3 linked regions of the Drosophila melanogaster genome follow. The protein of the gene in region 3 interacts with the protein of the main gene of each other region in a pairwise test. Each region holds a gene or a part of one and is shown on either strand. Other genes may lie near its edges.

Region 1 (11,333 bases), 1.0 Mb from region 3:
ACTTTTCTCGCCATGCAAACATGTGTAATGGCTGTGCGTGTCTCTCTGCCTGTGTGTGTGTGTATGTTGGTATATCTGTGTGTGTGAGATGGTGTGCGTGTAAAGGGCGTATTCCCTTGGCTGCGTGTTAATGCGCTTTATAAATCAGTTGAGTTCACAGCTTGGATCGTGGAAAAAAAAGGAACGCACGAAATACGAAATGGCCAACGGAAAAAAAAATACGGGAAATAATGATAATTACCTTATAATTATTTGGGCCAAAATAACACGGGCATGCAGAAATGTGCTAAGAGGAAATGTAAACAAATTAAAGCAGTTTGACAACAGTCACGGGCATAGAAATTAATTTTATAGCTTTTTATAGCACACATTTGTGGGCCATTGAATATGCGCAATTAGCTTAAATGGGTGTCGAATTATAATTCATGGGCTTAAATATGACAGTTATGGAAATCATTCCAAATTCTTTAAAATTGGTAAATATTTTGGAAAAGGTTATTGAATTTAAAATGATGGCGCCAGGAAATAAGGTTATTGAAATAATCGCATTTTGAAATTTATTACCATTTTAATAATATTTTGTAGTTGATTTCAATGTGCATCAAAAGGAAGCTATTGAATTGTAATTTGTAGATATGCTAATTATTTGCAAACTTAAAGCGCTATTAGCTGAATTTTATGATGAAAATTAGTTATATTAAAACTCGTTTTAAATATATATGCAAATTATGAGTATCTCAAACGATTTGCTTAAAAAACATTTATGACTGCACATTATATAATTGAAAATAAACTTGATTCAATTATTCTAAACACAGGGGAAAATATCCGATGCTGATTGAATTCGCATATTGCAAAGCAGAACCCTTGAGAGAACCATTTCACTTACCACGCCGAAACATGTCCTGCATTATCCTTATGGAGGCGGCACAGCCGTTTGTGCCATTGTTTTCAAGCGCTGCAATAAACATTATTCTGCACTCCTTAATAAATGCCAATCCATTAGGCCCGCCAGACACAAAGGACAAACGCCAAAGGACCTCAGCCAAACGGCGCTGCAACAAAGAACCCTCAACGGCAGTAAAAACGCCCCAACAGAGCGAAATGGCAATAGCCAGAATAGCCAGAGCAGGACGGGTGGCTATTGGAGCATTGTAATTATATTGCTGGACATCCAAGACATCCAGAAAGTGGCGCACTTACGGCTACAATGCCTTGGGTCGCTCATCAAAATTGCTTTTATGTGTGGCCCAAGGAAGCGCACATAAAATTTATGCCTCGGGCTCCACGTCCATTGCTCCCCCATTTGCTCCCCAGTCCATTGCCAGATGTTTCGACTACGTTTGCATAGTTTATTTCACAGGGGCACTTTATGTATAGATATAGGTATATATAGAAGGGGCAATTGCTACGTGGGCATGGGCGAGTGGGCGTGGCTGCCCACTGTACGTGCGGTCATTATTCTTTATTTGTTGCTGCTGCTCGCCATGCAGCTCGTATTATTGTAACGCCTTTTTGACACTACTAATTTTAGTTTTATTTTCTAGGCTTTTCTCGGAGTGGGCGTGTTGAAGCCTCTACTCTTTTGGGGGGCGTTTTTAGTAGGGTACATTAGCTGTATGGTGGCGTTTGGCATTATATGTTGTTACAGGAATTCAAACAGCAAAACATTATTAACCGATTTAGCTGCTAGTCACATTAATTATGTCCAATTTTGCTTACAATTGATTTTATTGTTTGGAAAATCTAAGGAAATATTCGAATTTATTATAAAACGGAATTGGGCCTTAGTTTATTGTATTTATCATCTAAGAATTCCGCCTTGAGTGCTAAACAGATCTTTATGTTTTCCATTAAACTGCATACCCAGGGCAAAGAAAGTTCGCATTGGTTAAACGAAAGGTCTGTCATTTTATTAGTATCCAAAACGCCCAAGGCTGCCGACTTTTGTTTATGGCCAACAGAATGGAAAGTTATTTACTTATATGCGTTATTTTATGGCCAGCACATGTCCAAGGTCCTAGTGTAATTATGTGTTGATTTGCTTCCTTTGCATTGCCCAACAGCTAAGGGGTAGTTGGGCATTAAATTCTTAAATTCTGAGGCCCGAGACCGAATTGCTGGAATATTTGTGTGTCATTTAGTGAATGGCAAAAGGCACGTAATCTCGGCAGCCGGGAATGCTGAGGGTTTTCACTCGCCGTCTGGGTAATCCACAAGGAATTTCACAGTTTTTCCAGCCCCACCACCCCCTTCCCCTACCAGCGTTCTATCTTTTTTTGTGTGTGCTGGATTATTGTGTATTTTAATGCCACTAAAGCAACACGCGTCTCTCCGCCATTGTTTTGATTTTTTTCCTGAATTTTTCCTGGATTTTTTCGTTTGTTTTTTTTTTTTTTTGTAGTGCCTTAGATTTCTTTTTTTGTATTTTTTCATTGTGGCTTCTGGCGCCGCTGTCGACGCATTTGCAGAATGTAGAATGTAGGTACCAAAAGGTAGACCAAGATAAGCCAGCAAAAAGCGGAGGGGTCTACAATAACAATGCGTATTGTATATAGAAAATGACAGCGGCCCAAACAAATAAATTAAAATGCGCGACAGCGCACCAAACAAAGTTTTTCATACCCTGGAAGTGTCAGTGGGTTGTGGGGAATATTGGTGCGAGGTACACTTTGGTCGCTGGGTTGATTATATGATTATATGAGAAGAATCACTTAAAGTCGCCTTGGTTTTGGTTGGCTCTTTTGTGCTTGTTCTTTGTTCAATGCTCAATAAGACTCGTTGTTAAAGAAAGAGCAAATCTCAGGCAAATCTAGACTGGCGTTTAATACCCTTAGATTCCATAGAGGTTCGTGGCCATTTCATACCTCTGCTGCAACATCAAACCCCCCCCCCTCCCTTTGGCTGTGTCAATATTTGCCACAAATTGAAATTAGCAGCGCGTTAAGAGCACCTGTACTCCCGGTCCTTGGTTGCTCGGCATTCCGCATCCTGTACACGGAGTTGCTGATGCCGGGCACATAATCCCCGTAAATTAATATGCTGCACATGTGTCTGAAGCCGGGGGACTAACATTCCGTCCCTTTGGGCATCCTATTTGCAGCTGAAGGAGTACGAGCTGAGCGAGGTGTTTAACATTGCCGAGGACGATCGCAAGTACGAGACGGTCCAGACCCAGACCCACCTGGACGCGGAGCACAATCACGTGGAGATGAACAACGAGTTGTCCGCCAGCATCGAACGGGAACGACAAACGGAGCAGCAGCAGTTGCAGCAGAACGACGACGAGAGGCAGCGCATTCGGTCCCAGCTGTTGGCCAAAATGAATCCCATGTAAGTGCTACAAATGTGCCATAAGCTATGCTAAAAACCCTGAGAAAAAAAAATCAAAGGGAAATGAAGAGCATATTGTAGAAATGTAATTTAGCAAAGATAAACTTTTAATAGCGCAAATACTCCACAAACTAATACTAATAAAAGTCGACCAAATAAGCTCATGTTAGAGTTGAAAACTTTTTGAAATTGCGATTCGCATTATGCAACATTTTGGGTTAGCAAACAATTCTGAATCAAAGGGATTTTTAAGTTAGCTTTACAATTTTTAATTGACAATTTAAAATTTTTAAACTTTTTTATTAAAATTAAAATATTTTTATTAAAATAAATTGAATATAGTTTTATAGATATTAATATGGTTTATATATAAGCATTTTTAGCTTAACAGTTCAAGGCTCTCCAGTCTCTAGGTCGAATGATAAGCCTTCAAAATAACGAAAAACGAGTCATTTTTTAGAGCCCATTAAAAATTGGTTATCTTATAAGTATCGATTGACAAAAACAAATGATTAATTAATAGATATCACCGAGTTTCCTCGCCACTTGGCCTTTGCCAGACTGCTGAGAATAATACCTAAAAAGTAGAAACAGTTGCCATTCGACAGCTTTAACTGTTTCTTCAGGCCAAGAGTAAGCCTTAAATGGCACGTTTCGTATACGTAATCTGTTTTGGAGTGCAGAGAGCGCTTCAATTGGCCCTATTTAACATATGCGTAGAGTGCTTTCCCCTAACTCAAGACCAACTACTTTCAACACTCCTCCGTCTACATATGCATTCACATATTTAAAGCAACGTGCCAAGCCCCGAGCTGTTGGAAAAACAAGCGAATGGGTGGGTGGGTGTTTTGGTTGGAAGGCAAAGGAAAACAGCTTTCTGGCACACTTCAAAGCACATTACACCGCTTTGGAGGCGTCGGGTGTGGCCCAGAACTAAAGACCGAAAGAGCCGAGGGAGAGTCGCCCGAGTGGCACGTACCTGGGTAATGCTGCATCTTTAAAAAGCCGCCCAATTCCTTGGATCTCACAAAACTCCGGTCGGGGAGAAACTACAACTAATCCCTGCTAACAGTTCCAGTCTCATCCACATCCACATCCACATCTACATCCTCATCCGCATCCCCTTCAGCGCTTGCTGTCTATTTTCGTGCCACTTTTGGCCAAAGCTGCTGGAGTGGATTTTGGCACCATTGGCACTGGTAACCTGCATATTTAATGACAATCCCCACCAGCCAACGGGACGTGTTCGAGTGCCAAGAGCCGGCGAGTGGGCGTTGTCGACTGGCCCCACTTTTCCTGGCACTCTGACAGGGTTGGAAACAAAGGCCGGAGACCCCGACGGATATCAGTTGGGTCTGCCAAATGTGCGGAATACTCGGACCAGTTTGAAAGTAATTACTATCTTATCGAATGCCATGTCGCGGGTGGCCTATAAAAGTAGAGAAATTGCCGGCAATCGGGCAAAGAGTTAAGTGCCAGCAACATGTCCGGAATCCCACCAGCAACCTTCACCGTAATCGCAGGTAGTGCAGCCCACAATCAGCGTCGCAAGAATCGAAATCGGGAACATAGCCAACAGAAGAATTCGACCAGTGAGCATATGGAATTCGCAGTCTAAATTGCGATCAAACATAAACCTTAACAATTTCCAGAGACTGAACCGAATACGGCGGGGTCGAAGACAAATAGTTGCCGCATTGTTTAGATATAGTAACTATCTTATCTGTACAAGGATTTAACGCATGAAAATACATTTCCCATGACATAAACACCGAGTATAAATGGGCCGAACAAAGCATTTGGGGTTTCAGTTAATGGCCCAAACGAAGACGAGACGGCATAATTATCGACAAAATGAAAACGACAATCGTGGAGGAGAGGAGTGTGAATGAAACGATAGAAACAATAGCCACGAGCAGTGGCTCCGTCCAGGAGACAATCGAGATCGTGAATATCGATGGATCTGTAGCACCAAAGCATCGTCACCATCATCACCATCACAGACATCATCATCACCATGAAAGGCAGGAAAATGTTGAAGTTGTGGCAACAGAGGAAGTGATTCTTGTGGAGAACGCACCGAAATCGAGGAAGCATCACCACCACAAGCAGAGGACTTCTCCACCACCGCCCCTGCCGCAAACCTCACCACCATTCCTCACCCCCACTGAAGAAGTGGGTTTCAATGTGGTGTGGGAACCCCAGGCCTTTTGGAACCAGCCCTCACCCAATCCCTCCACTGATCTAGATCTCTCACAGGATAACGAGGTTGTCGATGCAGTGGAGACTATGGACACTACTTCAGCTTCCGATGAATTCACCACTGTTGTTTTTCAATCAGAGACAAAGGAGTCTATTAGGGAAACACAGAAGCACACTAGAGTGGTGGAGGAGGAAATAATAATTGATCAATTGGACCCACCACCCTATGCACCACCGCCACTTCAAGTGCAGACAGGATTCTTTCCAGTGGCTCAGCAGCCCCCACTTTCACCCATCGCAGAAGTGGTGCAAACAGATGTGGTGGCGGAATCGGTGGAACCTCCACTACCGCCTACAGGTTATATTCCCAGAATAAATCTAAAGCCAACGGAAACTATTGTCGAGAATGTCGAGGTCATCGTGCCCGCACAAATTCAACAAGAGCCGGAGTTTATTCCGCAGCCGGGATTTGTGGCCAGAATTGTGGAGAACATAGAAGTTGCCGCAGCATCTAAGTCATCACTGGTTTCACCTCAAAAGAGTTATTATCCTCGGACAGGCATGGTGGAGACGATTGTGGAAGATATTGAAGTGGTAAAAGATGATGCTCCTGTTCAGAGTGGTTATATTCCCGGAAATGTTGAAGTGGAATCGATTGTGGAAAATATAGATGCCGATTCTCCCTTTCTTCTTCCACCCAATGGATTCGCTACTGATGAGTCCATTGTGGAAAACATTGAAGTCTCGACAGATGTAGATGATTCTCCATTTCTGCTTCCAGTTAATGGCTTTGACTCTGAACCAGTCTGTGTGGAATCGATTGTTGAAAATATAGAAGTTACACCTTCTCAACCTGTCCTGCAAATATCAGATCAAAGTGTTGTTCCTGCAGGCTTTGTCGAGTCTGCGGTGGAAGACATACAAGTCATAGAAACGGAAGATCCCCCATTCCTACTGCCGACTGAAAATGACTTTACTGCTCAGGCAGGCAATGTGGAATCCCTGATAGAAAATATAGAAGTAACTACGGAGGTGGATCTCACATTAAGACAATCAGAACAAATAGAAAATCTACCTCGATCTGGTTTCGTGGAATCCATTGTAGAAAACATTGAAGTCACTCAAGAAGTAGATCCCCCACAGCCTGCAGTTCCAAGTGATGTGGTCACTCAGAGTGGTCTAGTAGAATCGATAGTGGAAAACATCGAAGTCACAGAAATAGTGGATATACAAGCTCCGGCTCCACCACAAACTGGATTTGTGGAATCGGTAGTGGAACGTTTAGATGTCACGGAAGAAGTTGAACCTTCAGTGCGACCACCACTTCCACTTAGCTATCCTCCTCGTTCAGGGTTCGTAGAATCTATCGTGGAGAATATAGAAGTAGAACAAGTTACTCCTTCTTATCAACCTCCCCAGCAAATTGTTCCTCAATCAGGTTTTGTAGAAACATTTGTAGAGGATATTGAAATCAAAGAATCTGCGCTACCGCCAATTCAAAATGGATATGCACCCCAAGCAGGAGTAGTTGAAACAATTGTCGAAGAAGTAGAAATCGTACCCGATCCTCCACGTCAATCCATAGTGACAACCGATTATATGCCCCGTGCAAGTTTGGTTCAAGAACTGGTTGTGGAATCACTTGAGGTCACACCAACATCATCGCCTCCACCCGAACAGTTTCCCTTCATTTCCAGAGAGAGCCTAATCGTAGCTGATGATTACGTGGAGGTGGAAGAAGTCACCCCTTACAATACGGCACCACATAGTCCAATAGTGGAAGTGGAAAGATTGAGTGAAGCCGAGTCTTATGTGGAGATTAATGAAGTTGCACCAGTTAATACTCCACCCCAGAGGTCCGTTGAAGTGGGTTTCCTTCCCAGACCCAGCTTAGCCGAAACGGCGGTGGTTGTGGAATCAGTGGAGGTAACTCCAACTCCAACACCGCCACCAAGCCCAGCACTGAAACTCAAAATACCACCGTCGAATCAGATACCATCGGAGGTGATTGTGGACCAACCAGTTCCATCTTCAACTTTCAAGCCACCAGCGAAGCCACTTAACAATTTCATTCTAACTGATCTGGTCATCGACGATCCTCCATTCGTAGAAGTGGTGGAAAGGGAAGTGGTTGTTGAGTCCGCAAACAATGGCCAAGTCACTGAGGTTATCGAAGTCACGGAAGAGATCATACAACCCGTCACACCCATCGGAACTGTTTTGGTGGGGGAGGTATCCGAGCAAAACAGCGACAAATTTGGCAAGCGATATTCCCTAAGTGCGACACTGGCTGATGGACAGCAGCAGGTGCAGGGAAAACCGGAAACGAATCAGTCACCACCGATCCAAAAACGAGATAAACCCACCGAACCACCGAAGCGTAGATGTTGCCAGTGTAAATGCATCATTTCCTAAAGCAGAGGTCAGGGGCTTTCCCCAAGGCAAGTGAATCAGTACAAAACCATATCATATCATAGAAATCTTATCAATAACTGGGTCTTTTTATTATCAGCCTGGGAATGTAAGCTCCACCTATCGCATATCTAATCAGGTAAAACAGAAGACCCTCCAAAAAAAAAAAATCACAGTAATTGATAGTTAATTACCGGCGGACACTCGAGGAAATAGCGTAGATAAGTGGCAAACTCAAGAACCCCAATCGACCCGAAAGTGCTGGTCAGTCAGTCAGTCAGTAGTTAGCCATCGGTCGAGATGCCACCCCCAGGACGCGGATACGGAGGACCACCTCCACGGGGTCCCGGAATCGCCTACGGACCACCGCCACCTCGAGTGAATGTCGGCATCAATATCGGCGGACCACCGCGTCCGCCGCCCATAGGCGTGGGCATCGGCTTTGCTCCGCCACCCGTGGTGGTTGCACCACCGCCACCAACTGTGATCGTCGGAGCACCACCACCACCGCCCATGGTCGTGATGCCGCCGCCACGGCCCACCGTTGTGGTGGGTGGCCAGGCTCCGGTGGCCAGTGTGTATGCCCAGCCGCAAGGAGAGGTTTTCTGCTGCACTATTCTCTGACGAAAAATAGGAAATGAAAAACTGTGCTTCTGTATAGAATTATTCACTACGTGTACATATATGCCTTAAATAAGTAAAATAAAATAGTTAACTCATAGTAAAGTCCACAGTCCATGTTCAATTCAAGTTCAAAATGGCTTAAAAGACATTTTAATGCAATCAAAAATCATTGTCCAGTGTGTTGTTTTAATTTTTGAAGTGTGAACCAATGAAAGTATTAATAAAATGAATGCAAACCATAATTGTATGTTATATAATTAAATACACATATAATAAACTGCTACCCTCACGATTTTCCCATTGCATTTGACCGATGCAAATATTCAATAATCACATTGAAAGCATGACAAATTTCAAACAATTGTCAGTTTAAGTATACAATTTGAGCAAACCAATTATAATATTAATATCAATTTACCGTCGCTTTCCGATTGGGAAAACTAATTCACTTCGGGCCAGAGAGCAATTTCCTCGTCACATGTGTCCAAAGGCTGAGTCACAGTCAGTTTATCGAGCACAGGAAATGCAAATTGCGCCTCAAACAACATTTACTTAATACATTTTGATGTGCTCATCTAACGGTAATTGCCGTGAACATGATCGAAGCAAATTGTCGCTAATAACTTCCATGTTCCATGTTCCAGGCAGGCAGGGCGTTTGCAAAAGGAAAAGGGAATTTGAGTATGGAAAATGCTGTATGTAATTTCAATTTGAGAATTTTCCTCATTATTTTCGTTGGGCCCATGGCGCTTGGCGTCCTTCTCTGGGTATTTCAATATTTTTGCCAATTTATTTGCGCTCCTCCCTCCAATCGTCCCGTTGCTCATCAGAGTTGAGTTTCTGTGCCTGTTCGTCTGCCTTTTGATTTTTTATTATTATTTGCGCGATTTTGCACGCGGCGTGTGTATGCAAATAAACGAAAAACTGCAGGAAACAAAACACGGAAGTTGCCCAGGAAGGAAGGCAGGAAGGAAGGAAGCCAGGCAGCGCCACAGCCAAACGTAGTCTGCAAAATGGGAACTTCGGGGGATTGTGGTTCGCGCGTGGGTCCTCCTCCAGAAGAAAAAAAAAAAGAAACATAAAAAATACCCTCCTGGGTTCCATGGCATAGGGGTCTCCGATTTCGCATTCCGGCCTTTTTGGGCTCTTTGGGCTCACTGTCTGTCAGCCAGCAACACGGCACGAAGGCTGGCTGGCAAAAGGCAAATTTAAATTGAAATTTTCCACAGTTGATGTTCTGAAATAACAAACGTGAGCAGCCAGCGAGCACACCTTTGAAAATGGAAGAGGCGGAGGCACACGGGTCGTATGTGTAATGTGGCAGTCTTTTAGCGTCAGCAAGTTAAGCTACTCTGGTAGAGCAAATCATGAAGGTGGAATATATATATAGCAGATCTAAACCCTTCAAAGAAATTGCTGTGTGAGGCTAAGCAATTTGGAGATTACAAAAATATAATGTTAATTATAAACAAAATTTAGGATTAAGTGCCTAATGGTATCAATTCATTTGCTCGAGCCAACTATAGTATAATAAGTATAATTTGCAGAATTTAAAAACAGGCTGTCTTATTATTTCAAATTGTTTCGTGCAAGACCTAACAAGACCTTTTCACATTATTCACTTGCAGCTATGGCAGCAACAACAGCCTGCAGCCGGCACCTGGTCAGGTGGTCAGTGTGGTGCCGAAGAACGACAAGCATGCGATCCTGCAGAGCATCGCCAGCAGCTATCGGCGTGCCGCAGATGCCAGCGATGCAAACGCCTCCAAACCGACACCATCCGCGATTGGTGGTGGCAAGGCCGGTGGTGCGGTGGGCGGTGGTGCTGCCACCCGCAGGCGGAGCTCCGCGCAGCGTCGTCGTGATTGCCGCGTGAGCCACTGGTCCGAGTGGACGGCCTGCAGCAAAAGTTGCGGCGTCGGCGAGATGCATCGCTACCGCAAGGTCATAAAGCACGGCAAGAGGGGCGGACGACAGTGCCCGGCGCTCCAGCAGTCCAAGTGGTGCGGCACCGAGCGCAACTGTCACGGGTCGCAGACCTATTTTAATTGGTAAGTGTGCCGCGCCGCGGAAAACTCAATCAAATTAGTGTTACACTGCAAACAATTTCAATTCATTAATATTAATTAAATTGGAATTTAATTCAATTTCGCATTTCACATCAAATTTATATACACAATCGAAAAGGGGAAGTCCTTTGTTTTTATATAGATAACACAAAAAATCCATAATAGATTGATATTTTTATATTTTTTTGTTCTTTGACTCACCCCACAAGTATATACAATTAAAATATATATATGTCCGATTCGATTTCAGGTCCGATTCCGACACATGAACGATCCACTTGGCGGAGGCACAGGCGATATAAATATAATTTTAATTTAAGGCGTAAGAATTGCTTTTTCTGTGTGAACAAGAAAGACCAGCCAGGCCGTTAGGAGTGTGGTTCATCCCGCAAGGAGATTTTAATTTAACTTTACATTATCAAATGACATTGTTTTTAACGCAGACGGCAGAGACTTCAATTAAAAATGGATTAAATTAGAGGCGACGATGGGGAAGACTACTGACAATATTAAAAAACACAAGAAAGATTTAGACACAGGACACAGAGGATTGGAGTCATTCGTCCTGCGGATGTCGATTCAAACATTCTTATGTTTATGTGTTCACATTGATTTATATTTTTTTTTTCGTTGCTTTAGCTCTAAATAATATGTAAAAAAATCATCATAAAATATAAAAAATGAAGAAAAAAA
Region 2 (9,616 bases), on a different chromosome or scaffold from region 3:
GTAATCAGCAGCATGCTTTGCCGCCGTTGCAGATGCTAAATACATTTTTATTTATGAATAATGTGATGTGCTGACGCCGATATTGATGTTGCTGCCGATGCTGATCACGTTGCCGCTGCGCTGCGCCACAATAAAAATGAAAATGAAAATAATAAAGTCTCAAGTGTCGTCGATCGTCGATGGTCGGCGGTCGATGGCGTTTGGTAGTCACTGTGGCACTGTGTCAGTGGCCGCCGGGGGCAACCGGTTGCGCATCCTTGACATAAAAAAGCGATCTCGACCAGCAGCTTACATCTTCGGATCGATGCGGATCGTATTGACCAGCGAGCTGAAAAATTTATACGAAATTGCGTATACGCAATATGGGCAGAGGTGGTGGCGAACAAAAGGGCGCGGCATCGTTATCGCTCGATAATCGTGTACAAATTTATGTTAATGACAACGTGTTAACAATTTGCATATCTATATCTGTACCTGTACCAGTTACTTGCCAAATCGCATATGGCCTGGCACTTTGTCTTACCAATAATTCAAGTTTCATGTTTTAACAACTTTTCTCTCTCTTTGCGTTCCAGATGAAAGTCACCCTGGCAATAGCGACTTTCTGCGTGGTGATGGCCTGCAGCCATGCGGCCAGAACCACAACGACAACAGCGACCAAGCCGGGTCGCTTCCTCTCACTGCCCGTGCCCGCCAAGTGCGCTAGCCGTAAGTATATCTATCATCAAACACCATTGCACACATACCCGAAACCAATCCCACAATGGCGAAAAGTAAAAGTGACGAACGCGGCGAGAATATTAAGCGGCTTTGATTGCCAAGTTTGCACTTGAAATAGTTTGGCAATGCGACGTGTAGCTGTTGGTGTAACCACAAATGTTGAGGGGATTTTTTTTTTTTTTTTTTGCTGAAGGTCGTCGACGTGTGAGCCAGCTTTATGGCGCCCTATAAGACTCACTTTCTTTGCCCGCCTTTTTCGTAAACAAATTCCATTTGATATAGTATATATTATATATATTTTTTAAATTTATTATATCTAATGTTAATGTGTAAATGGAGTTGTTCGCCATCAAATTAATTGATTTCCTCTGCACTTTTAAGCTGATAATTGTTGAAATCCGAAGGGGCTTAACAAGCAAATAGTTCAGTTGAAGTGGATTTTCCTCATTTATTCTACGTATGATTGTCGCTGCCAGTCATCGCCTGAGATTACTAACCATTGCATCAGGGCTTAGAGATCGGGCTAAAACGGGCGAGACGCCTGAACAATAGCATCATCGCTGCATATCCGGTACACTAATGAACACTTTGCAGTTATTGCTAATTAGACAAGCCCTAACTCACACCGGCGCACACACTAACGTATTGCTAACACATACATACATGCACACATTGAGACTTAGCCAAAGCCGTTAAACATGCAACTTAATTTTTGGGGCGTCACCGGAGTTGCATATCCAGTTTTTTGAAGCCAGTGCCGTTGGCAGCGACTTAGATCTTTCATCTCTTAGAAAATTCCAGTTATACAAGCGCAGGTTTTTTAGGTCTGCCTTCCAATAGTTAAATCACCTGATTAATAATTCCACTTAATTACCTTTTTGTAGACAACTCTCTCAGGCGTGCATTCGCCCGATAATTAAGATTCGAAAACGTTTCGGTTTTTCTAACTCACTGTTGAAAGATGCCAATCGAAAAAAAAAAAAAAAACGGCATCGACACCCGGATTATTACGCAAGTTTCGGGTTAGGAAAATATATATACATATATGTATATATACATACAGTCAAGATGAGTTTTAGCCACATTATCGCCTTGACCCGCGCACAAAAAGGGCCAGAAATGTGAGGAAATGGCAAGTGGCAGCCGAAGCGGCAGCAAAATAAATAATAATGTGCAAACAATGGCCAATAAGGCTATTATGTGTTGGACTTAAGCTGATTTGACGCTTAGCGTTGCCCGCCTGCGAAGAGGCGTGGCAGGGGGGCAGTTGCAAAAGTGGCCTAAAGCGGGGCTAATGACGCGTGCCAACTGTGGCAACAGGCGGGTATATCTTTACTCAGTTTTTTTTTTTTTTTTTTTTGGGCGCGTCCGAGGGGCGGACATATCGCACATTGCGAAGACTTCCAAAGAGGCAGCTAATCAAATGGTAGCTGGCAGTTGGTAGTTGGTAGCTGGCAGTTGGCAGCTTGCTCAGGCGAAACAAGTTCGAGGATGGAGTTGTCAGGCGGGGGATCCCATTGTTTCCTCGAAAAAAAAAATAAGCTAAAAAGCAAATATATACGCGGGGAAGCTGAAAACCTTTTGACACCCAAGACAAAAGGAAAGCGGCGGCGTCGGCGGCAGGCGCAAAAAGAAGCATGCTGCATAAATTGCGCGGATTGCGTAACACGCCGCCACCGGGGAAGTTGTGTAAGGCCCGGGGCAGCTTCATCCACTGGCATCCACATTGGTATATATAGTATCTCTTGATTTTCGGCGCTACTCGCTTTCGGTTTCGTTTGCCCATGATGGGGCAGGCTGTGAGATATTGCACTGGGCCTCCGACTTCAGATGGAGATGGAGATGAAGATGAGGCTGCAGCGGCGCGGAAAACCGGTTGCCACATGCCACACCCACACGGGAAAAAAATTAGTTAATTCGGAAGCAAAGGAAAAATGCATCTAAGTTTGAATCTTAAAGTTCAAAGGTCTACTATTATTCAATAGTTAAATTATTTTTTATATATTTTGGAAAGCCATAACATACCCCTACTATTTTCTCAGTGCAAGCATGAAAACAGTTTCCGCTAACCGACTTTCTCCTCGCTGACCCGCAGGTCCCAAGGAGTTCTCCTACCGCGGCAAAAACATGTTCCTAACCACCCACGTGCCCGCGCTGGCCAACAAGAAGGTCGATTGGTTGGATGGTCGCAATCTGTGCCGCGAGTACTGCATGGATCTGGTCGCCCTGGAGACTCAGGAGAAGAACAATCTGATCTTCCGCGTGATCCAGCAGAACGATGTGCCGTACATCTGGACGGCCGGACGTATCTGTGACTTTGCTGGCTGCGAGAATCGTCCAGATTTGGAGCCCAAGACCGTCTATGGATGGTTCTGGTCCGCAACCCGCGAGAAGATCCAGGCCACCAACCGCATCCCACAGGGCTGGGGCTACAACCCATGGTCGCAGACTGGCCACAAGAAGCGCCCGCAGCCGGACAACGCCGAATACGACATCAACCAGACCAAGGAGCAGTGCCTGTCCGTGTTGAACAACGTGTACAACGATGGCATCGCCTGGCACGACGTGGCCTGCTACCACGAGAAGCCCGTCATCTGTGAGGACAACGAGGAGCTGCTGCGCTATGTGGCGGCCACGAATCCCGGCATCCGTCTATAGAGCGGCTCGCTGGGCGTTCGCTGTTTGCCTAATTTTAAAGCTACTTATTATAATATTCCTTAAACGAGTTTTTGTATAATTTTTGTTTGTATGTGTACGACGAAAACGGAAGAAAGCAAGACAAATAGACTTTAGAATTTACAATTTCCGATCCTACAAACACCACAAAACCACCCACCCACCAAATCCACAATACTGCTTTCATCACACCTTAGCACCCAGCACTTAGTCTCACTTCTCCTTCCTCCCTACCTTCGAAACTGCCAATTTTACGCGTAGAATTCTATTCCGTTGTAAACAGTTGAGTCGTTTTCAGATCGCACCTTAAATATTTATAGGCAATCCTAAATTGCAAGTGTTTCGCTCTGACCCACTGTCTGTCATTCAAGCAAGAAATTCGGAATCTCTTTAGTATTTTGTTTGAGACACTCATGTTTTGTCCACAAAGAGATTGAATAAAATTTTGTAAAGATCCCATAAAAAAGAAAACACTTGAATTAATACTTTGGTTTTTATTGGCAATGGTTGTGCTGATGATCGGGTGTTGTGGAGTTGTGATGATGATGATGCCTCTTTGATCTGCGATCGTCATGTGAAGATCCCGAGGAGCTGTGCTCTCTTTTAGAGCGCACGGAACTCCGGTCACTTCTTGACCTGGAATGATGATTCCGCTGTTGGTTGTTTTTGAGATCCCGACCTCGGTTGCCCAAGTCCTTGGAGTTTTCCAGTTCAACCTCGGGGCTTGCCGACCAGCGCCAGTTCCTGCCGTGCTCGCTGTGCTCATCCCAACTGAAGAGATAGGGAAAGTATTTAAATAGTTTGCCGGAATATAAACTAATATTATATTTAAATCCACCTGGGTGTCTTGGCCGTTGGAGTTTGGCTGGAGCGTCGTTCACTGCGTGGACCGCTGGTGTACTCCAGTTCCGTGTTGAACAGGTTGTTCGGATTGCCAAACAGGTGCAGATAGCCGCAGTCGTTACCTTTGGGACATTTACGTGTTAAGGACAAACCTTTAAGAAGTCACAGATTGTGTTAAAGAAAATGGTATTAAAACATATGAATGGGCTTGCTTTGAGTTTTGGTTTTTTAAAGGATACGGCTTCCTCTTGGCATGCAGTTCACGTACCGCAGACTGCGCCGCGCCAGGTCCTCAGATTGGAGAACTCCACGTTTAGTCGCTTGGAGGCGTAGTAGCGACCTTGGAGATTGGTAAATGCGCGAAGTGCAGATCTGAAATCATGACGTACGCTTTATAATAATTAGTTTATGACCTCTTTAGACATTATTAACATAACATAAAAGTATGCAAGCGCAGAGACAATACAATATATATATTTTTTGGCGAGAGAACAGGTATAAATTAAAATTGTGAATTATATGAATTAACTTTTACATGAAAATGCTGGGAAATAGGCTGCATTTGAATATCCGAATTGCTTGCATATAAACAATGTCATATTAATTAAATAATAATAATGATAATTAATACTCTCAGACAAACCGTTCGTTTGTGTACTCCACAAAGACGTGACCCCTGAGGTGTTCCAGCGTATTGCGCACCGTGCGGAAGTTGACAATGGTGCCGAACTTTCTCAGTTCTTCGACGACATCGTTGAAGAACTCATCGTAGTCGTGGCGCAGATCCTGTTCGGTCAATTCCAGGTGTTCCTCCGCCGAGGCGTACTCCTTGTGCGTGCATCGCTTCTGCAGCATGGAATGGTTGAAGAAGTGCCGGATGAGAAGGATCCTTCCCAGCATCGGGCGGCGATGGTTGAAGGTGCAGGCGTGACCGTAGCGGCAACAGTTGGTGCGGCTAAAGAACTCGCAGGCTCGTTCCTCCGGATGCGTCTCCATTACACGCAGAAGGTGGCTGGGTGGCTTCTCGATACGCGGGTTGTTCAGATACTCATCCATGCTCTCCATCATGGCATCGAATTCGGCGGCAGCCTTGGCGGCTTTTCGTGTCTCTTCCTCGCGCTGCTTCCGCTGTCTCTCCTCCCGTTCCGCCCGCTCTTTCGCCTGTTCCCGCTGCAAACGCTCCACTTCCTCCTGCTCCTGACGCTTCTTCGCCTCGTCCATTTGGAATTGTCGCTGCGCTGTGGCTTCGCGTCGCAGCCAGGACTCCTCCGCCAACTGGCGCTCCCGTTCGTCGGCTAGTCGTTGGAATTCCTGCATTTCCTCCTGTTCCTGCGACCATTTCTGGTACTCCGGCTGCATAAGTCTTTGGTTTTCCGCCTCTTCCTCCAGTTTATCACGTTCTTTGGCATGTTTTTGACGACGCCGCTTCCTCTGCTGCTTCTTGATTAACTTTCGCCGTGCCCTTTGTATAAATTATATACATTAAATTAAATTATACATTATATTTAAACAAATTTATAGTTATTTACTTCCTTCCCGGCATTTCGCAAAATCAAAACATTGAATTTCGGTGAGCAGCTGAAACGCATTTGTGAGAACACAGCTGATTAATACCGTGTACAGGGTCTATGAAAAATACCACAAAATACTGCAGCACGAAAAAAATTACATTTTTACATTTACATATTTTTCAAAGTTTTCATAAATCTGGCAAATCAAAAATGTTTTGTAAGTTTTCCCTCAAAATTAAGATTTCATATCATAAATGTTTAAAATTTACGAATTCTTACGATTTTTGTAATTCAAAATTTATTATAAATTATAACAGTCTAATATAACACCAAGTTTCGTTCTTGCTATAAAATGTAAAATAACATTGCTGTATAGCACAATGCCAAAAGCCTCAGTTCAACTTACACTGCTATAAATTATGTTATGTGATTTTTATAGCACTGTGTCGAAGAGCTTTTAAAATTTAATAGAAGCGCTTAGTTTGAATATTTTCTTGTTTATCAGATTTGTATATTTTGAATTGAACCGTTTATTCAAGCTTTTTCTCAATTCCCCCTTCCATCGAACCAGAAACTTTCGAACTCGAAAATTCCCCTCTGCAACAATGTTGCCAGCAACATTGTGTCCGGCGATTGCCGAAGATGCGAAAAAAAATCAAATTCAGTGATAAAGTAAAATTCGTGCGCGTCGGTTCACCTACACTTCGTGTCGCCAGAGAAAGCCTTTCTCCTGGCTTTCTCTCTGAGCTCTCCTTTTGCGCTCGGCTCCGAAATCCGAAGTCCGGAATTTGGACTCCGGCTCAAGCGCCGAATCGCCGAGCTTGGCTCACGGAAAACCAACTGAGTTGTGCGAAACTAAGTCAAAACAATTGATGTGAATTCTCGCGGCACAACTTGATATTAGATAAATGAAATAATTCGCGCCGCTGGCACTTTGAACTCGTAATCAGGTCGCAAGCATATTCACGGTTTTTTGTGTAGTAACCACAGGAATTCAAATTCATATTCGTTGAGATTCTCGCAATGCGGCTAATTGGATTTATTCTGAATTTGGCAGCCCTAACAGGTAAGTGGTTCTTACACTGGGAGAAAAAGAAAACAAATGTTATCTAAATACATAAAATAGCCTGATTCTAAAGCTAGCAATTAAGGGATATTTAGAAAACAATATTTTTGGATTTGATGCTATCAATCCATAGATGCTATATTAGTTGTAATAGTAGATTTTTGTAACCATCACTTATTGAAATGCAATTAAATAACTTAAATATAAACTTAAAGAAAGAAGAACATATATCGCAAATTAAAACAATATGTTCTTTACTTACAATTTTTTTCTGTACGCCTAAAAGGGGCATTTAATTTTCAATAATAAACGATTTGACCGCATTTGTTGCTCTAGTGTTACATTGGCTGAGGTGGTCATCGAGTTCTGGAGGGGATGTGGATGGGGATGAGGATGTGGCGACCTCTTCCGAGTTACGTTCTGCGTTTTATTTTCGGACCCATGAACGGTGTTTATTATGTTCTTGTCTGGTCGATGGACAGTTACGAGCTTTAGTAGTATTCATAATGTGGTTGTTGTGGTTTTCCGTCTTCCTCGTCGTCGTCGTGTCGTTACGTATTTATCAATATTTGCCCTCTGTATTTAGTTTTGTGGCTCAAGTGTCTCGTGGCTAATAGAAAATCGATGCTGGCACATTGTTGCACATTTCGCTGAAGTATCTCGAAGATACTGGGAAAGTATCTTGCCGCTTTGCAGCCCTTTTGCGCTGTTCTCACTGCTTTCTGTTGGATTTTTTGAAGTCGCTGTCAGTCAACGATGTTTGCTCTTAGTCTTTCGATCAATTTTCACTGCCTAAAAGCTGTCTGAGGGGTGTTAAGTCGCACTTGAATGGCATTTTCCATGGCCTGCCACATGCCTCTGATTTTCCATGGAACCATTTTCCCGTTTTCCCGTTTGCCATGGTCCTCGTCTCCGGACGACACTTCAATCTGCATGCCCCACATTTATGTGGCGCTGCGTTTTTGGGCTTCTCGTTGCTCGCTGCTCTTTGATTTCTTTCGTCCTTTTGGCCCGCACTCTGCTCACTTCGTCCTGCGTCCTTGCAAATATTTAATTTAAGCCTGCTGTCATCTCTCGCCGAAGGGTATCAACATTTGCTGTCGCCTCTTGTCGCGCAGTAAAGTGGCAACAATGGTTTTATTTATTTCAGCAAAGCATAAATGATTAATGTAATTTTCATTTGCTCAACAAATCTATTTATATGAATAAACTTCGCATTTTTGTAAGCAACGTTTTTTTATAATGGGCAAGTGCATGTCCTTAGTTAGGGACTCCCAACTTCGCCTTGTTTATATACCCTTCACTTTGACCATTCTTCGAGTGGATACACTGCAGCTGCACTTGCTTTTATCCCTGGTAACTGAATCCTTTTTGCGCCCCATTCCGTTTATTGCTGTTGCTCTGGCCCACTTGCGGTTTTGTTTAATTACGCATATTACTCCGCCTTTCGCCGCCAGTGTCATCGCAGCCCATCGCATCCTTCCGTTGCATTCGCCGTCCCAGAAACCGACACATCGCCATATTCCCAGTGCGAACCCCCCCCCCCCCCCTTTAGTTGCTGTTTCTGTTGCTGCGGTCACTTACTGACTGGGACGAGTGTCTTTGGTTGGATCTCTCTTGAGGCTTGTCAACGGCAGGGTGAATTTCCGGAGACGCCTGAGGTCGGTAGATGGAGTCGAGTTGTTTTGCGGTTGCCTCGGGCACTTCCGCCTGCCGTTTGGGGGTTGCATGGGTTTGGGTTACGTATTGTCAAGTGACCAACTGGCTCGATCTGACCAACTGGCTTTGAGGATGACCAAGCTGGCAGCTGGCAGGCGGCAGTCGTTGCCAAATCGGGCTGGTTAATTACTTTGCTAAGTGCTGCTGTCCCATCTCGCGCAGTAAAGCCCTCTGTACATCTCGAATTTATCATATTTACCCAGTAAATTCCACAAATTAAAATCAATACGAAGCCTGCGGCAGGGGGCGCAATCATTAATTATACAAGCGGCCGATGCTGCTGATGCTGCTAATGAGGTAAAGTGTCGACAGCAACGCCCCCAGTGAAAGAGTGTCCCATTACTTTCGACCGCCACTGTGCGCCCTCATCGCCGGGTGGGTGTGCACTTTTAATTGAGGGAAAGGTCAGCGTCGCATCGATTTAAATGCAAAGCGAACCGTAAACAGAGCTATGGACACTGGACCTGCTCTAGATAATGCCGGTGAATTTATAACAATTAGATAATTATTTAATATTAACTGAGCTCATATTGAATTATATGGTTCTTTCAGGAAAGTGCAAAAATTGGAATGCAGAATTGAAGCAACTTATTTTAAATTCGCAGTTATTTCTTTTTACCAAAAAAACCTAGCTAGTGTATAAATCAGCATGTAAATCACTCCAAATCCAATGTGCAGTTTCAGTGTGACGAGGGGTTTGTTGGGGCCGCGGGTTGTTAGTTGTAGGCGTAGATACATGCCCACGCATGGTTCGTCGCTGGCGATTCAATTTAGTTTGCCACTTAACCCCAGAGTGCCCCACGCGGCGGTTTGGGCCGCCACCTTTAACTCTCGCGCTGCCTGGAGGGCGGTTTCACTGCATAGCATGATAAATTGCCACTTGACTTTGCATATTTGCGCTGTCAACGGGTCGTGAAAAAGGGTGATGACTGTGTTGGAGTTCGGGGAGGCAGATGCGATGCACAGGAAAAAAAATGTATCTCCTGTTTGAAATCTATAAGGATTACCTTTATTTCGATCGGTAAGCAGAATAATTATTCATAACATACTTCACTGTAAGTTGATATTTCTCTGTCTCTTA
Region 3 (10,443 bases):
GCAATCCATATATATTTATTCATGATGGAATATTAGAAAACGGCTGTAAAATTTGCATTCCTCAGTCTTGTGAAACTCTCTTATCAGTGAATTTATTTTACTGCGTTTCAAAGTAGTTTTGCTGGTCTTTTCTTTTCTATTAAGTTGTATATTGCTTTTTATTTAAATTTGGGTTAAAATATGTATTTTTAAGTTGGCATCATCACATAGTAGCAGCTCATCAGGATCTCTCCGCAATTTCGATTATTTTTTACTGGCGCTCATCTTTGAAATTTCTCGTAACCATTTCAGTAAAGGGATACAAAAAGGACGAACCCCTGCAGAAATCGTCCCTTTTGTAGCACCGTTTGCCGAAAGGGTTACAAGAATTCAAGGGATGGAGCCAGAACACACTGAGGTAATCGTTGATGGCCAGTGGCTTCAGGTTGGGAAGCAATTGGCGAACGAGAAAGTTGGTCTCCAGCAGAGGACTCCGTCGCAAATTTTGGTAGTACAGAGGGGCAAGCCCGGGAAATAAAGACCACTGACGTGGATTGAAAAACCTGTTTCTGTCACGCGTACAGTGGTCGTCTTCCAATCCTCGTTGTGGTCTTCTCCTGGGTCTTGATAGGGCAGATCTTAAGAAGATACCTAATCCCTCGAGTTCAGAGTTTTTTTCATGTTGAAGTCCCTTGTTTCGCATCGCCTTGTCTTCCTTGTCCAAAATCTTCTTTATAAGTCCCCAGTTATGAATGTCCTCTTTTGCCGATATTTTTCGTCTGCCAAACGACTGATGCCATTTATTAGCTTTCGTTGATATAAACTTGTCCACATTTCCGTTACCCTTTCCCGTAAGTCCTACCTTCTCTTTAAGTTTTCCTAAGGTACTGCGATGCTGATCCTTTTCGGTAGAGTTCTTCTTGGGCTTCTCATCGGTACATAACTTTTTTGAATTCTTATACTCATCCGAATATTTCTTTGGCTCTCCTAGTGAATTCAAGAAATTGCCTCTATTATTATTTTCACACTTCATCTTTAGGGCGAACTCAGCACATCTCTTTCTCCAGGAGAATTCTTCGCATTGTCTTTGCTGCTCATTTAATGAGCTTCTCTCTTTGAGATTTTCATCCGAACATTTGTCCTTGAAATCTTTTTCTGCGCATTTTTGCTTCAGTTCTTCGTTCGCACAAAGTTCCCTAAACTCTTTTAATGCACATTTTTCCTTTAATTCTTGCTCTGCACACTTTTCCTTAAGTTCGTTTTCTGCACATTTCCTTCTGAACTCTTCTTCTGCGCATGCTTTCTTTAATTCTTTTCTGGCACATTTTTCTTTTAAGTTTTCCTTGGCACATTTTTTTTTCAATTCTTCTTCTGCGCACTTTTCTTTCAGATCCTCTATTGCACACATCTTCCGTAACTCCTCTTCAGCACATTTCTCCTTTAATTCTTCTATTGCACACTTTTCCTTCAGTTCTTCTTTAGCACATTTACTCTTCAATTCTTCTTCTGCACATTTTTCAGAAAATAAATCCTTTTGCTTTGTGCTTATAATGTTTTCCTTTTCTTCTGCTAACTTTTTTTGCAATTCTTTTATAACGAGCTTCATTTTTGACAAAAGGTCTTGCTCGTACTTGTCAGATGTTTTGCACTCTAAAGACATATTTTTTAGCACATCTTCAACGAAATCCTTTTTTTCTTGACACTTATCCTTTAAAGACTCAATGGCGCAGTTTCGATTCAGACCAAATTCATTAGATTCAGTCTTAAGTTTTTCATTTGCACTCATCTTTTCTAGCTTAGCCATAGCTTTGTAGAATTCTTCTGCAATGCTTTGGCTTAGACCGTGTTTAATACATTGGTTCTTCAGAGACCGTCCTTCGATCACCTCTTTTATGTGTGTGCACTGCTTAATAATAACATCTACTTTATTTAATATGCCCGTATATTCCGTATTTCCCAACATTGATGGATTCGAAAGAGCGCAAGCATCCTTTTTCTGGCACTCACAACACTGTATGTAATGCCTCCAGAAATTTTCAACTAATTGATTTACATTATTGTCCTTTTCCTCAACATTGCAGACTTTATTTCCTTTCAAATCCTGTTGCATTCTTTTCTCCATCAGGAACATACACCTAACCATTAGCTCTGCTACTCGAAATTTCAGCTTGTCTTTATCATCTAACATTGAAAAAAACTTTGAGAAATCAATATCTTTCTTAGACTTTATGCCTCCTTTGTCGATATCATTTTCAGGTGAACACCATAGATTTTTGTGAACACGGCTTTTAAATACTTTATGCAAGCTGTTGCCGGATTGACAAGATGGTGGCTGGTTATCCACGTTTGCAGCATTTGAACAAGGAATTTTCGAGATACAATCAGCAGTATTGGGTGGCTTTAGTGCAGCTTTACAATCTTTTTTTTCCGAACTATTATCACACAGAATTCGGTTCTTTAAAGTGTCATAGAAGCCCGTTAGTTTTTGATCATATGGTGGAATCATTTTGGGTCCTGACTCGTTTTTCTGACCACCCAAATTGTGGGAACATGAGTCCATGATATTTCCGTTGACCCTCTTAGAATCCACTTTCTGTTCTGCAGAAGATGAAGGCACCTGTGGATCAATGCATTTTACGCATATATTTTTGTTATCAATTCGACTCACATTTTTTTGGTTAATAGACTTGAAAGAAGATTCTCTAAGACATGGAAGACGACCCTCAGTTTCCTTCTTGGCTTTACTTATGAGTTTCTCCTCACGTTCCTTTATTACTTCCATTGAGTGAGGAAGTATTGGTTTGTTATGTGAAGATATTTCTTTGTCGTTTGCTCTTCCAACACTTTTGGATTTAGTTTTTAACGGGAAAAATGCATCCTGACCCAACTTATTTTGCCTCTGTGGATTTAAAGATTCTTCGAAAAAGGTCCAATCTATCGAATCGTCATTATATTTTGCCTTTGGAACTTGTGGCTTTGCCTTTGGCTTTCTTTGCGTTATTTGCCGTTTGTATTTCCTTTTATTTTGATAATGCTGCATTAGAGCCTTGTTATCTGAGTGGTATCTCAGAAGATCGGCATCCTTTCCCTCCTGCAATTGTTGCCTTACTTTTCTACCCTTTGACATGAGCATGGTAACAAAATTTCTGAATGTACGTTTGGGTTCCTTAAACTCGAGGTACGCCTCCTTATCATCTGGATATGATCTGTGAGAGGAACTCGGCGAGTATTTCTTTTTGGTAGACCGCTTCATGCGGTTAGTCCTTTCGTTCTTCTCAATTCCCTTGTCTAATCCGTCAACACCCTCGTTCATTAGATCCCTTAGACGTTTGTTCATTTTTCCATTCGATCTTTCCCTAAAACGCCGAGCTCGTTGATAGACGTCTGGACGGGATTCCCTTTTGCCCCTGCCCGATTCTTTATGGTAGAGGCGTCCCATCTGACTGATAAAATAACAGCTGCCAGGGTGTCTGTATCCACAGACTTTGAGTCTGTGAACTTCGCCCACAATGCAGACCTTTTGTGGAACCTGTCTTATCGATGGCGAAGAGCCCGTTTGGCTGAGATCGTTGGTGAGAATGTCGTATGACATCGGAGGATCATCCTGGAAGAAGGTAGTCTGCTGACTAAATGCAGATCCATTGCTCTTTACCAGGGTCCAGGGTTGGATGTATGGACTGGGTTGATGACAGACCCACAGTCGTTTTAGCGGCAAGTTAATAAACCTGCGAAACATTCCAAAGAGCACGATTGCTGCGGAAGGGTCCTTCTAAGTGCTGCGGTTACCAATGAAATTTGGATGGTTAATAAAAAAAAGAAACTAAGGCCAAGTTTACGTGGGGGCAGTCACTGGAGATTTTATTAAAAAACTAAGCAAAGTGAAATAAAATTCATGACAACTTCGAGTGCGAAACACAAGGAAATATGGACAACAATGCTGATGACCTGGGCGTCTACTAGAAAGGCAACGGGGTCAAAGGTGATCAATGTACCACTCGCTTTTCACAGTACCCATAACTTTCCATTGCTGTCGTGCGAGGTGGCCAAGACCACGGTGACGGTGGCAAGGACGATAGCCCAGTTGCTACAGTCGATTACCTGGTCTGAAAATCTAGAAATCATATATCTAGGGAAATATATCCTAGGGTAGGAAATCCGCTGCATCAACTGAAGGACAAGCGGCCTTGACGACCGCCGTGGTCCTTTAAGCCTTTCTCCTTGGGCAAGCAATGATATTTTGGGCTCCTTAAAAGCGCAGTTGTCCACCTGTCTGCGTTACAAATTATAGGTTATCCAAGCCATACGTTCTCTTCCTTTAAGAGATTAAATTTCAGGATAGGTTTATTTTTTCTTCTTTTTTTCCTCTGCTTCGGCGGCTTTCTCTTTCTGATCGAATTCATCACATTCTTTCAAAATCCTATCTTCCTCGCATTTTTTCCGTTTCTCTTCTTCATCCGCTTTCTTCAATCGTTCTTCCTTGTCCTTTAGGTCTTTTAACTTGGAGTTCAGTTCTTTTTCTTCGTTCTTAAGCGATTCCAGTTTCTTTTTCAGTTTCTCGCATTTTCTCTTTTTCGCTTCTTCGGCGCATTTAAGCTTTTGGAGTTCCTGTTCGCATTTCTCTTTTATCTCTTCCTCTTCGCATTTTTTCTTTTTCTCCTCCTCTTCGCATTTCTTTCTCCGTTCTTGCTCTCTGCATTTCTTCTGCTGCTCATTCTCGCATTTTCCTTTTTCGACCTTTTTCATTAACTTCTCCTCCCTTTGCAACAGTTCCGTACGTTTTTTCCTCACCTCGCATAATTTTTTGAAAGCGTTTTCTATGCACTTTCTTTTAATTTCCTCATCGCATTCTCTTTTACAGCCTTCGCTCTTGCATTGTTTTTTGAACTCACCATCGACTTTCATAATATCTTCTTGTGTTTTCACTAGGACTTGACATATTTTATTTTTTGCTTCCTCTTCACATTTCTTCATTTTCTCCTCCTCCTCTCGCTTTTTCTTTCTCTCTACTTCATTGCACTTGATTTTTTGTCTTGCGTCTGCGCATCTTTTCTTCATTGCACACTTTTCGATATTAGCTTGTAATTCCTTAATCTCGCACTCTTTATTTTTTTCTTCCTCTTCGCAGGACTTTTTCATCATTTTCTTCACTTCTTTAGAGGCTTCGCTAAAGTCTACGTCGTTCTTTTCCGTGAGATCTTGAATAGTGGGGCATGCCTCTTTCCACTTCTTTTGAACGCAACTATCTCCACATTCCTTTTCTGCCTCGCACTTATTCTTTTTTTTCGGTTCTCCAAAGGAATAGGCACACATCTTCTTGATCACCATCTTACGGCATCTCTTCTTGATTTGCGCACTAAGGCAGTCTTCTATGGCAGCCACATCAGTCTTATTCTTCTCCTGTGCTTTGCATATATCCTTCCATTCTTCGTATTCGCACTCTTCCATCCTCTGCTCGAATGGTGATTTTTTTGCATCTCCCTTGGAGCATTTCGGTTTTTCCTTGGTCTTCTTTGGGCACTCCTCCTTCTTGGATTCCTTATTTTCGTCCTTTGCACGTTTATCTTTCGGAATCTTTTTAGGCTTATCACAAGTCTTAGCTTTTTTCGCCGGTTCTTTGCTTTTATCCTTGGGTGCTCCCTTACAGCTATCAATTATGGCATTCTTTCCTTTCTTAGCTTTTAGTGATTCTTCTGCTTTCTTTGCAGTCTTCGCATCGTCCGCTTTCTTTGGCCTATCGTTGCATTTATCCACTTCCGGTTTATCTTTACATTTTTCCTTCTCTTTCTTACTCTCTCTTTCCAACTCGGCTTCTAAGAGCTTTGTGGTATCTGCTATGCATTTCCTAAGAGTTTCTGATTCCTTGCATCTCTCTTTCTCTCTTGGCTCCTTGCACCCTTCCGCAGAGTCGCCCTTCTTCTTGACCGGACATTCCTTCATTAATTTCTCGATCTTCTTATCCTTGATCAGCCGCTCGTAGCGTAGCTTAAGTTCCTGCTCCCTACAGTACTTCTGCATCACCGACTTCAGACAGACTCGCTTGACGCCGGCCATCACGCAGTCCATCATATCCCCCATGGCCTTCTTCTCCTCCGGCTTCATGCAATCCATTTTTGACTTCAGCGCCTTCGACTTGACCCCGATGCACTTCTTCAACTGGCATATTAGGCGGTCGGCATCCCTCCTGGCCGCCTCCTTCTTGTCGGCCGCCTCCTTTTTCTTCATTGCGAGTGCCTTTTGCTCCTTCACGCACTTGTACCTTTCGCTGTCCATGAGAGGTGGGTCACAGTATCTGCGCAGCTGCCATTTATAAGCTATGCCAATGGATCCGCGGACTTGGGGAGCAGACATCCGCGTAAGCAGGCAGCCGCCAAATCTGGAGCCCATTGATAAGAACCGTGCTTAGTCCCCCACGAACATAAAACTAAAAACTAAAAATTTAGATGGTCGTGAATTAAAAAAAAAAAACGAATTTAGAACTAAATTTTTGGCCCTGTTTGTTTAAAATGAAACTACATGAATTTTTGTTGAAAATGGAATACTGGGTTCATAAAACATTTTAAGTACTAGCAATATTTTATATAGATCTACATTGGTATATCCACGAATTGCGGGCCTTGGGAAGAGCACCATTGAAACGCTCTCCTTGCTGGCGTCAACCATTTTCAAATCTTTGCTCAAACCTCAGAAATGACAACAACGCAGAGGAGCCACAACCACGACATAGTTACACACACATCCCATCGAGGGGCCAACGGCAGACAAACACTTTTGTCGAACATAAAATCGAGCACAACTTAATTAAATGTTAAAAGCGCGACCGCAGCGCGTCTGTGGCAACCAAAGGTGTGAATACGAAGGGGTTGTTGCCGGTGGGCTGGGCATTTCCGGTTTGTGGGTGGGTTGTTGGTGTGGGGTTGGGGTTGGAAACGCCGTTATCACAGCGAAGAAGACGTTGACAGACGCTAACTTCATTTTCGGGGTACTGCTTCAAATTAGCAAACCTGTCAACTGTCAGTGTTTGTGAGTTGAAGTGCGGCCAGAAGTATGCGGGGTAGGCGGTTGGGTTGGAGGTGTGGGGCACGGCTCCAGGCGAAAAGCAAGACAATGTGCCTCACCTGTGCTTCAACACCTTGCAGGAGTTCCTCAGTCCCCCCCCCCCCACGCTACTCCATCGCTCGATAAGGAAGTTGCTCTGCGAACTTTGCAGTCTATACAGAAGAGGCCTCCATGGCCATGTGTGTGTGTGTGTGTCTCTCTCTGTGTGGGTATGCGCGGTGAATTATGGCATGTCTACTTCCGCCACCTGCCAACCCACAGTCCCCCATTGCGTTGTTTGTAATTTGTTAATTTCCCGCATTTAGAAATTAATTTTCACTTCATGCGCCGCCAAGCAGACAACAGCAGACAGGTGAGTTCGAGTTGGCCTACCTTGGCAGCACTGTCGCACATAAGTGTGCTTTAACTTTCTGCCACACGCACTCACACACGCACACTCACGGCGGCATTACGAACTTGCACCGCAATTACGAGTGCCACCCACTCAGCCCAATTCAGGACCAACCCACCCAGTGAGCTCATTGCGTATTTAAATTCCTTTATGTTGTCATTAATTTCTGCAACTTGTTCGGCAGTGTCGCTGTTAATTTTTAAACGAAAGCTCTGCCCGAGCAGTCTGCCATGTGTTTGACACGTTTACATTTTAATTGCGCACATGTGCACGGTGGGAAGTGCGCATTTCATTGTTGATGTGAGCGGGCGCCGAATGTGAAATGGGTCTGCGGAGTGTAAAACTTTAATTGCTTTATTATGTCGGCCAGCAGGCAGGTGGGAAACATCCTCGGAGAATCACAGAATCGCTCAGCCCACATTCGCGAAGAATTGGGCCAAGGCACTTGAATCGCCCCAAGGGCTAGAACACCCCGAAATAAAGATGGCACAGGGTTCTCTTCTATGTTCCGAAGAAATCTCTTTTTAAATTGACTCAAGTAGTCTCAGGCTAATATGTAAGCTCTTGCACTTTTCAGTTTTAGCCTTACTAAGCCTTACTGTTCAAAATTGGATGTTATAAGTTTCCGCAATTCCGTTTTAAGTCATGGTGTTTTTGGGACGCCATCTCTCACGATCTCTCGCGTACCATCTAAAGCAGCCCAGTTGGAACCGATTGTTCCTAAAGCCCCGCACTAATTTGCACCATGTATCCGTTTACTTGGGACAACCAAGGATACTTAGCCACAAATCCGATGCATATGATGATTTAAGCTCGAAATATCGAATGAAAACTAATTGCATGATCAATCAAGCAATTGATCAATCAGAACCGCAAAAATTCTACTACCACCATCGGATCTACAAAGCATCCCAACTGAAGGACCGTGTTTTTAAAAGAAACATCGATCAAATATGCCTGAACCAACAACGATCGTTTTGCAAAGAGGCCGATAAAGATAGTTGCTATTGCAAAAAATTGGAGGATGAAAACTGCGCACTGCAGCCGTTACCAAAACCGGAACCCAAAAAGAAATGCTCACGGATATCCAGAAAGAGAAAGCATTTACTTGAGCAAAAGAAGAAAGCGGCAAAATCTGAAGCCCCTCCAGAATCGCAAAGTGAACCAAATCTAGACGAAGCCGTCGATGAGCTGAAGTTCAGTTGCATGCTAGCTTCCGAGAAGAAAGACTGCGAGCGCAAGCAGTACAAGGCCCTCTGCGAAGAATTGAGAAAGTCAAAGCCTCAGGGTGATCCCAAGTCTGTAGATTCTCTTGTAAAGTGCATGCTTTCTGGCATACAGAAGGCGTGTATTGTTCACGCCGAGAAGATTGTCTACCAGAAGAAGTTCGCTGAACAAATCGCGATTGAGGAGGCTAAAAGAAAGGAAAGAGAAAAGAAAGAGGGAAAGCCTCTAGACTGCACTAAGCCGAGTGAGGACGACGAAACTGGCGCAAAGAACAAAGCTGAGAAGAAAAAGGCCAAAGAGAAAGCTGAGATAAAACGATTGCTCAAGGAAATAAAGGGCAAGTGCAAGAAGCAGCGTGAGGAAGCTGAACGCAAGAAGAAAGAGGAGGCAGAGCTCAATAAAAAATGTAAAGAAGCAGCTGCTAAAAAGAAATGTGAGGAATTGGAGGCTAAAAAGAAATGTGAAGAAGCGGCTGCTAAAAAGAAATGCGAAGAAGCAGCAGCCAAGAAGAAATGCGAAGAAGCAGCAGCCAAGAAGAAATGTGAAGAGGCAGCGGCCAAGAAGAAATGCGAGGAAGCAGCAGCCAAGAAGAAATGTGAGGAAGCAGCAGCCAAGAAGAAATGTGAAGAAGCAGCAGCCAAGAAGAAATGCGAAGAGGCAGCGGCCAAAAAGAAATGCGAAAAATCAGCACCAAAAAATAAATGCCAAGAATCAGCGGCCAAAAACAAATGTAAAGAAGCAGCAGCTAAAAAGAATTGCGCGGAAGCCGAAGCGAAAAAGAAATGTGAAGAGGCAGCGGCCAAAAAGAAATGCGAAGAGGCAGCGGCGAAAAAGAAATGCGAAGAGGCAGCGGCCAAAAAGAAATGCGAAGAAGCAGCAGCAAAAAAGAAATGCGAGGAAGGTGCTGCTAAAAAGAAATGCGAAGAAAAGGCGGAGATAAAAAAATGCGTAGAATCAGACCGTAAGAAAAATAGTGCAAACGATGCAGCTATGAAAAAGTGTGAGGAAGACAAAAAGAAGAAATCTCAAGAGGCCGAGAAAAAGACGAAAAGCGAACAGGCCGCGCTTCAAAAGAAATGTGCCGAGGCCAAGAAGAACAAGGCACGTGAAGCCGAGAAAAAGAAAAAGACAGCAGAATCCGAACGGAAGAAAGACTGTGATCTAGCCGAATTCAAAAAACGATGCAATGAGCTGAAGAAAAAGATTGCAGAGGCAAATTGCGAAGAAAAGAAAGGCAAGTAGTGGGCCATTAATAAAAAAAAGAAAAGCTTATCGGAGGCGTGGGAGATGAAGTCCCCTACCTATTATACATTTCAGCTGTAATTTCAATACTTAAGTTAAGTAATGATCTATCTTTTCCTAATAAATTTGGAGTTGTATCTTAATTTAAATTTGTGAGCGATTAAAGTCAAAATTCCAGATGTAGTACGTATCTTTGCATTGACAGATTAAAGTTACTTTCAGCACTAAAGCATTAAAGCTATTTAAGACTGGCTTTATCATCGGACGGCTAAACCACTATTGTTCGGTTGGGGAAATGCCAACAGACCCGCTAAGTACAGGCTTGCTGAAGGACAATGATGATGAAGAGTGGGCCGAGAAGGCCGAGGAGGCCGACAAACAATTGTGCCCGCTTGTCTTGTTTATTGTCATCCATCATGCCAAGGCCCCTGGTGGTCGGGGAGATCGTCTTCAAGCAACGATTTGTGGCTACCATCCGGCGGAGGTGGAAAGTGGGCGAACGGGAGCCTAACGAGTGGAGTTTACTCATTCAGTCGAGTCTTCTCCTC

What was found.
Region 1: the proteins of CG13337 (region 3) and CG30480 interact in a two-hybrid assay, tested with the Drosophila melanogaster proteins (one large-scale study listed by BioGRID).
Region 2: the proteins of CG13337 (region 3) and CG3294 interact in a two-hybrid assay, tested with the Drosophila melanogaster proteins (one large-scale study listed by BioGRID).

What each region holds. Positions count from the first base shown.
Region 1 is NT_033778.4:14,671,943-14,683,275, reverse strand, and holds CG30480 (uncharacterized protein), read left to right. Parts: upstream 1-5,139; 5' UTR 5,140-5,187; coding exon 5,188-7,950; 3' UTR 7,951-7,976; exon of another isoform or gene 7,977-8,047; 3' UTR 8,048-8,247; coding exon of another isoform or gene 8,248-8,571; 3' UTR 8,572-8,670; downstream 8,671-11,333. Other genes in the region: CG30479 (uncharacterized protein), read left to right, coding at 8,248-8,571; mspo (M-spondin), read left to right, coding at 3,104-3,333, 10,200-10,622, 10,891-10,909.
Region 2 is NT_033779.5:4,790,838-4,800,453, reverse strand, and holds CG3294 (uncharacterized protein), read right to left. Parts: upstream 5,797-9,616; 5' UTR 5,783-5,796; coding exon 5,769-5,782; intron 5,702-5,768; coding exon 4,883-5,701; intron 4,612-4,882; coding exon 4,508-4,611; coding exon of another isoform or gene 4,500-4,507; exon of another isoform or gene 4,479-4,499; intron 4,392-4,478; coding exon 4,235-4,391; intron 4,168-4,234; coding exon 3,891-4,167; 3' UTR 3,873-3,890; downstream 1-3,872. Other genes in the region: slf (schlaff), read left to right, coding at 576-708, 2,816-3,378; fipi (factor of interpulse interval), read left to right, coding at 6,774-6,816.
Region 3 is NT_033778.4:13,661,127-13,671,569, reverse strand, and holds CG13337 (uncharacterized protein), read right to left. Parts: upstream 6,457-10,443; 5' UTR 6,364-6,456; coding exon 4,321-6,363; 3' UTR 3,814-4,320; downstream 1-3,813. Other genes in the region: CG18368 (uncharacterized protein), read right to left, coding at 251-3,715; CG6209 (uncharacterized protein), read left to right, coding at 8,072-9,895.